Oryzias latipes: one gene and its partner. The protein of the gene in region 2 interacts with the protein of the main gene of each other region in a biochemical or structural test. Links are inferred from orthologs where the notes say so. Each region holds a gene or a part of one and is shown on either strand. Other genes may lie near its edges.

What was found. The genes of interacting proteins can lie anywhere in the genome.
Region 1: the proteins of mylip (region 2) and protein canopy homolog 2 form a complex in vitro, tested with the Homo sapiens proteins (2 studies listed by BioGRID). The link is inferred for Oryzias latipes from reciprocal best matches to the Homo sapiens genes MYLIP and CNPY2.

The regions. Positions count from the first base shown.
Region 1 is NC_019863.2:27,667,938-27,672,190, reverse strand, and holds the start of protein canopy homolog 2, read right to left. Parts: upstream 2,832-4,253; 5' UTR 2,687-2,831; intron 2,567-2,686; 5' UTR 2,560-2,566; coding exon 2,457-2,559; intron 2,380-2,456; coding exon 2,264-2,379; intron 1,496-2,263; coding exon 1,298-1,495; intron 1,160-1,297; coding exon 1,063-1,159; intron 974-1,062; coding exon 930-973; 3' UTR 1-929. UniProt on the Homo sapiens protein: Positive regulator of neurite outgrowth by stabilizing myosin regulatory light chain (MRLC). It prevents MIR-mediated MRLC ubiquitination and its subsequent proteasomal degradation.
Region 2 is NC_019869.2:23,667,624-23,671,270, forward strand, and holds part of mylip (E3 ubiquitin-protein ligase MYLIP), read right to left. Parts: intron 354-3,647; coding exon 168-353; intron 1-167. UniProt on the Homo sapiens protein: E3 ubiquitin-protein ligase that mediates ubiquitination and subsequent proteasomal degradation of myosin regulatory light chain (MRLC), LDLR, VLDLR and LRP8. Activity depends on E2 enzymes of the UBE2D family.

The sequences.
Region 1 (4,253 bases), on a different chromosome or scaffold from region 2:
TTAGCATCAGACAAGTATATTTGAAGACAAAATAGTACAAAAGGTTTTCCAAACATTTCAGGAGGAAGTTCAGAGAAATGGGTCCAGTATTTTACCCACCACCAGGTAAACATAAATTCATATTCATCTCCAATCAATAATTATATAATTCTAATAGATAATCAAACCAATCTTGGTTTAGATCAATAATCATAGTAAACAGTGATGGATTAGAGCTCAAACATGTTATAGTTCTTTGATTTTGGATAATAGGAAGCTATAAAATTTTACAATATCCACATGATGTAAAGGTACTTTTTAAAGAACAATAGAACAGTAATTCAATTCCATATTTCTTTATAAAGATTGTAATGAAATAAATTCTAACATTAAGAAAAAAAACACTTATTATTTGGTCACTAGTTCCTGCGACCTTCCAGCTACCATTTTATGATAGGAAAAGGGAAAAACACCAATTTTCTGGACAAAACTCAACTGGGACAAAGTCATCATCAGATGATTTATCTGCCACCAATACAAACAACGGAGTATTTTTTGGAATCAAACCACAATATATGCAGAAGTAGAAGAACAGTTTGCCAAATTCAACCCAATTTCCTCAGAAAAATCTGTACATACAGGCAGGTCCTAATAAATTTGCTGCTTCACAGCTTCAGTAGAATTCAGCAAAGAGTGTGTTTGTGCAAAACACCAACCTTCACTAAAGAGGCAGGATGGACAGAAGTCATACATCACAGCAAGGACCTGAAAGGCCTAAATGTGAGGTGCTAAAGGCTAAAAATGGCAAAGAGTCTCATTGGAAACATCCCTAGATATAAAACAATAGAAATTGTGTTCATCTTGCAACTGCTGCCTTCCTATAAATAGATGGACGAGAAGGACAACACATCTCAGTTTTTACAGAAGGAGGCGACTCTGCAGGGAGAAGGTCAAAGTTCGTCGTGGGCCATGTTCAGAGCGTGATCACAGAGGTCTGCAGACACAAAGCAGGAAAAACCAAACCGCAGAAGATCAGAACAAAAAACGCACAATACAAACCTGATGTGTCGACTTCTAACATACCTGTTCTCTTGCTGCAAAGTTTGTCTTTAACATTTTCTGTTTCATGTGCAAAGAATTCAATGATTTCATCTTCGTGATGTTCAACAATTGTTTCACACTGGAGAAATAAATCATGATAGACGTTTAGAGAAGACAGCAGATGGAATAACTCATAATTAATATAAAATAACCACAAAATAATATTAATGAAGCACTGGATGTAATTATTCTGAGCATTAGCAGCTGCTGTACTCACAGCAAACTTTAAGCTGGATGTGACCCTGGAGTCCAGAGTTGCCTCTGAAAGGTCCATGGCTTCACCGGTCCGAGACTTAACTCTGATGTAGGACTTCCTGTCTGTGGAGAGATCTGTGCGCTCACCGTAGTCCTCCATCCTCTCACACACGCTCTCCATCAGCTCCAAGAGGTTCCCCTCTGAGCGAGCCAGCGGAACCTGTTTGACAGCGAAGAGAGCTTAATAACAACAGAAATAAATTCTTATTATTCATTGTTCTGCCCAGGTGGGTTCACTTTAAACAACAACAAACAAACAAAAAACACTGAAACCAAACTATGCAAAGACTTTAAAGCATGATATGTTAGAATAAACAAAACAGAAAATGAAGATTTTCATTTAAGATGCTCCAACAATCCATTATTCTGCGATGCAGCTTTACCAAAGTGTGCAGTGGATATTAGTCAAGGATTTTAAATGTGCCATATGGTCCAAAAGTACAGTAAGGGTCCCTTTATTAGCTTTGCTTTTATTTTAGTTCATTAGATTGACAAGGTTTTGGCTAAGATGCACCAACAACAATAATAAATAAATAAAGACTGTGTGTAGTTTTATTTTTACACTACTGCTGACATCACCCAACCTACTACTACATTTGCTGCATTGAGATGATCCTATGTGGTACAGGCTGTCTTTTATTTTGAAAGGGAATAATGTGAACCTCTCACAGTTATAAGCTGTTTGATATTTCTAATAAATAAATGAATATTTCTCTATGTTTTTTTATGAAAAAAAAAGATATATCCTAAAAGCAACATCAACATAAATGCAAATCCGTGTCTTTGTCTAAAGGCTGATGTTAGACTTTGTGGCTCCTGCTGGGTTGTGATCAACCATATATGTGAACAGTGAACTAAGATATTAGTGTCAGATAGCAATAAAACTTCCTCATTTCTCATCCTCCTTTATGAAGTTCCAGCATCTTACCTCCCTGATGGACTGACTCCCGTCGGGGTTGATCCTGAAGGATCCTGTCTGGATCGTTTTCTTGGGATCTATCTGGGAAATGGCCCACTCCATCTCATCCACCAGAGCCCTGCAGGCTGCATGCAGGAGGAGGGCGCATTAGGACCCGCGCGTGAGCTGCTGAGACGACCAAACTACAACTGTAGAAACTCACCTCCACATTTGATGTCCTGTCCTTGCCTGGCAGCCTGGCTGCAGGACAGGAAGAGACCCACTACCACACACGAAGTCAGCAGGAGAGCGTTTTCCTTCATCATTCTGCTTCTGAAAACACACATTTCCGCATAATTGATGCTAATATTTCCAGCTCAGCACCTGCGATACATCCCGTGATCACTTCTCCGAACGAATGAAGCAGTTAAGCAAAGTTTTCATTGAACTTACAAGCCTCCGTGAACGTTCCGGATTCCACTTTGACGCTACTCCACGCTTTTCCATCACATTCGTGAAATGTGATGACGTAGCCACAGAGCCGCTCCGCACATCATCGAGCTCGAGAGATTTCAGCTAGCGCCCCCTGGTGTCCAGGGGTTGAACAGCACCACGCTCTTTTGTTGACCGCTTGACATAATTTGGGGCGTTTTTTTTTTTTTTTAGAAATCCCAGCTCCATTTGGAACACTATACCTCTTCATATTTTATCTAAAATTGGTGGCGCTGATTTCTTTCTCATGTGTTATTATGATGTATGTAAAATCCCACTTAAGTTATCTGCATTTTATCGCCAAGCCTTCCTTTCATGGTCCCTTGTATACAAACACAACTTTCCACCTCACAAATATTCTATCTGGAATAACAGGGACATTTTATATAAACGCAAATCACTCTTCATAGAACATTGGTTTCGAAATAAGATTACTTTTTGTATCAATTATTTAACAACCAGGGCTTACTTTTAATTTATGAGGAATTTCTATCTAAATTTAACTTCCCTGTTCCCCCTTTAGAATACGCTAGAGTGTTTGGGGCTATTCCCTCTGGTGTCTGCATGCTGTTTAAATTCCAACACAGAGTTCACGTTGAGGAGCCTTTTCTACTCTCTCCCATAAATACTCCTGTGGGGAAACTAAGTCTGACTGGTTATCCCAGGAAAAACAATAAAGCCATTAGAACATTATTTCAAACGAACATTGTTTCACTACCTCGTAGCATGTCTTATTGAAACGAGTTTGTTGTAGATATTGCATGGAAGGAGGTTTGGCAAAAACCCAATACATTTTTAATCACTAATAAGGTTAAAGAAGTTTCTTTTAAGATTATCCATAGAATTTATCCAGCTAAAATTTTTATTCAAAACAGATTTAAATTAAACATTGAAACACTATATTGTTTTGGTTGTAATTCCCCTGAAACAGTTCTCCATCTTTTCTGGTATTGTCTCAAAGTTAAGATGTTTTGGCAGAAGATGTGTGATTTTATTAATGATAAAATTGATTCTTGTTTTGTCTTATTTTGAAAAGATGTCTTGTTGGGTATAATATCAAAAAATATGCAAAAGGACTCTGGTTTACTCTTAAATCTTTTACTCATTTTGGCCAAATTCCAAGTTCATAAATGTAAATTTTCTGGTAGAAAACCCTGTTTCACTGTATTCCTTTCTGAATTAAATCAGTATATCAACAGTATTCAGTATTCGAAATTCAGAGAAGCAAAAAGCAATCAGAACATTGTCTGTATGTGATGGATTCAGTATTTTTTCATAGAGTTTAACCCCCTGGCTTATTTCTATTTCTATTCTTGTTCTTCTGTTTGTTACAGATGTGTATTTGATATTTGCAGTTGTGTTTTTTATTGCATACTTAAAAGTACATCCTTGTAAAATGGCATAATGTGCAATAAAGTTGAGTTAAAAAAAAAATTGGGGTGGTGTTCTTCAAGAACCAGTTATAAGACATATGAGCCCAGAAATAACTTGATTGTCAAAATAAACGAAGCATCTAAAAGTATTTAAA
Region 2 (3,647 bases):
AAGAAGCCCCTCCCTGCTTGTCCAGTGTGAACACCATATGCGAAACGCATGTTCCAGAATGCCTGTTCAGTACGTTCTTGAATGTGCGTCAAATTGCCAGGGTGTACGTAGCTTCAGCTCAAACCCCCCCCCTCAGCCTGTGCCGAGCTGTACAGTGGGCGTGTTACCTGTTGATGGTGGCGACACTGGGCTCCTCTCCACACAGCTCAGAATACCAGTACTGGGCGGTGTTTTGGTTGTAGTCCCCGAACTCTGCCTGAGCCAGCAGGGCACTCAGCTCCTCTGCTTGTTCGGAGCCCATTCGTAGGTGACCATTGTGGAGGTCCTCCTTCACGTGCAGGAAGAAGAGGTGTCTGGAGGGAGAAATTAAGATGAATTATGGATTTTTTTTATGCATTTATTAAACAGTCAAGGCTACAACTTAACATTTAAGACAGTGTGTGAAAAAACCTTCACTACATTTGTTTGACTAGGTTGTAACCACTTCCCCAAATCACAAAAAGCCTAACTGAAGCAGAAATGATGACACAGGTTTTCTCAAAACCTAAAAAAAAACCCTGAAATTGAAAGCTTTTCTTGATACAAACACGGATACTGTATGTGAAAACAGTTGTAGGGGGCGGGGCCACAGTTATTGTTTGGGCTGACTCATAGGAGCACCACGTTCTGGTTTGGTAGGGAAAACAGACGCTACAGCAGGTCTTTTCATTGTTTTTGCTACATGATGTAAAGAATTCTTTCCTTCACCTCAGCAGGAGACCATGAGGGGAAACATCGCAGCTAACAGGAGCGCTGAACACAGATCCTCCCTTCAGATTGACCTTTGCCACAGTAAACAGTAAGAAGATTATGAACTAGTCACCTGCTCTTAAAACAGTTGCACATTCACCTCTATGCAACAGTTTGACCCACTTTAAGTCCTCTCAGAACTCAACAAATCAGACCGGTTTCCTTTTTTACCCATTAAAACAATTCAATTTTACATTTTTATTGGAGTAAATTAGATCCTACAGTAACTTGAGGTTGTTTGGAAAGTTTAAGATGCAAGTAAAACAACATTCTTCCCCAGTAATGTCTACAAAATAATACAACTGAAGGCGGTTGGAAAGAAGGAGATTGTTGTTTTCCGTGATCCTGCAGTACAAACAAGACTACACCTTGTGACAAGCGCCGTGTTTCAGCCGCTGCGAATGCAACAGCAGACACGCCTTTGCAAAAACGTTCAGCTGCGAGGGGCGCACAAAGCCAAGTCTACGCCGCCACCTGTGCAGAAGCCGGAGCGATGCGAGGACCAGAGCATGAGCGGCCTCGGGCATAACAAACACGCTTTGATTTGGTGTTAAACATCCCATTCCCTCCAAACGCACACAAACACTGCACTCCATTGTGTCAGGCCCAGCAGGCGTCATGTGATGGAGCACTGCTAGTTAGCTACCTGCCTGATGCAAACAATGGAGCTGACGTTACAGAGAGTTTACTACAGGTCGTTGGCACAGGGTTACTATAGGGCGAGGCGCAGGTTACTCTCGGTTACACAGGTGTTTCCGTGAGGTTACCGTCAGTCACAACACCTACATGTAGACGAAAGAAGGGTTTCCTTTAAAAAGAAGTCACAATTTAGTGAACTGAAGCCAACAGTTCCTTTACATTAAACGGTGAATTCAAGGGATTTTAGAGGCCCAGAGAGCAGAAACGGTTGTTGTCACCGCGGGCCGCTTCTGCCAGACAGCTCTGAGAGGAACCAAAGGCCGAACACCAATGGCTTCATGTGGATGAAAATACACTTCTTAAAAAAGGTCAACTTGCATCATCAACTTCCTCTGGGTAAAAGAAAAAAAAGATCTGCCGCTTTGCAGAAACCATCTCCTAGAAAATGACAAGTTTTTTGATTTTGATAAAAACGGCACAAAACATAATTAAAAGACCACTAAGAAAACTTTTGTAATACATCAAAAAACGATTGGAGAGGGACTTACGTCAGTAAGAGCTTGAACTAGCAAGAAGCTTGCTATTCAAAATAATAATAAAAAATTAAAATTTACAAAAAAGGCCAGGAGTCTGCTGAAAAACGTATTCATTTATTGACAGACCTATAAGATAAAGTTTAAAATTTAAATAAAGTTTAAGAAAAAATTATAAAGTCAGAAGAAAAAAAAAGAGTTTTTAAACAAGACATGACTTGGAAGAGTTTACACGAAACAACAGGGTTTTTTTAATACAGCGTGTACTGTACAGTTTAATCTGCAGGCCATTATTGCAACACCTTGCAATCCTTTGAATGTCAGGAAGTTTATTGAGACTGAAGTCTCCTGTCCTACTTCTACTGTATTACAGTTTAGGCCACACGTCTTTGTCCACAAGATACAGACCGCCTGCTAATATAAGCAAATAAACAGACTCAAAGCTTCGTGGCACAGTACCAAAGAGGAAAAATTATACTCATACAAGTAAGACTTCTCAAAACAAACAAGTCAAAAGCCTGGGTTCTTGTTTATGTTTGCTCGGACGAAGCATTAAAACCTACTAAAAGAAAAACCGGCTGTTTCAGGAGCTGCACTCAAACTGAAACCTAACCCTGCTGCCTGGATACCGAGCCGCTTTCAGCCAATCAGCAGCAGAGTTTTACATCGCAACAATGCGGCTTGTAAGCTAGTCAAATACCACAGCCAGAAGCCATGTGTTACGAGGTTACTCCCAGTCAATGACCTGTAGTTAACTCTGCACGCCAACTTCTCCACAGTTTGAGGCGGAATAAAACAGAAGATGTGCAGTTTGAGACAAAGCTGCAGTTCACGGATTTTATACATCTATGCCTTCAAACTCAAAAGGAGCTTTGCAGTGATCCAACAAACAGGCCGTCTGTGCGAGACATTCTTTGGGTTTTCACAGAACAGTAAACTGCAATTACAGCAGATGTTCTAAGAGATTAACAGGAAAAGTGGAGCAAAGAATAAAAAAAAAAAACAATAGTTATGGTGCTTGATGTGAAAGATGGCAGGATGTGCCACCATCTCCAAAAACACATGAGCCAAAATAAATCCTCTTGAACAGTTTTTGTAGAACAGTAGTTTAAGAGAATGCTTTCCTTTCCAAGTGTTCTCACTGATAAAAAGTAAAAATACTCTTTTGTGGAACAACAGTTGTGCAAATTGCCCATAATCTTGACTCTTACCTGGATCTGATCGACATCTTATGCAAACTCACGTCCCTGCATACAATTTTCCCCTCAGTTAGTTGCGTTGGGTTTAGACACAATGCCCCATGGGAAAAAAAAGCATTTACCATAAGTACCGTTTCAAAAACCCAAAGAAGGCGATTCATTTAAAATATACATGCTTTACCAAAAAACAAACCTTCATAAATCACGTTTTTCCTTAAATTCTTAAATTCTTAAATTTGTCAACAAAAATAATTGAGTTTAGGGTTAAGATTCCTGCTAACCTGCTCTTTCAGGGCATCAAACGTTTACCTAATCAGAATGCTGAACACATTTGCTGAAGGGAGGAACCTGAACAGCCCCAAGCAAGCAGGGTTTAATGATCAATGACAGCACCAACACGACCAATAGTGTTATTCCAGTACTTAAGCACAGACCAAATGGTCCAAAGGAAAAAATAAATAAAAACCCAAGATGAACTACTTTGCAA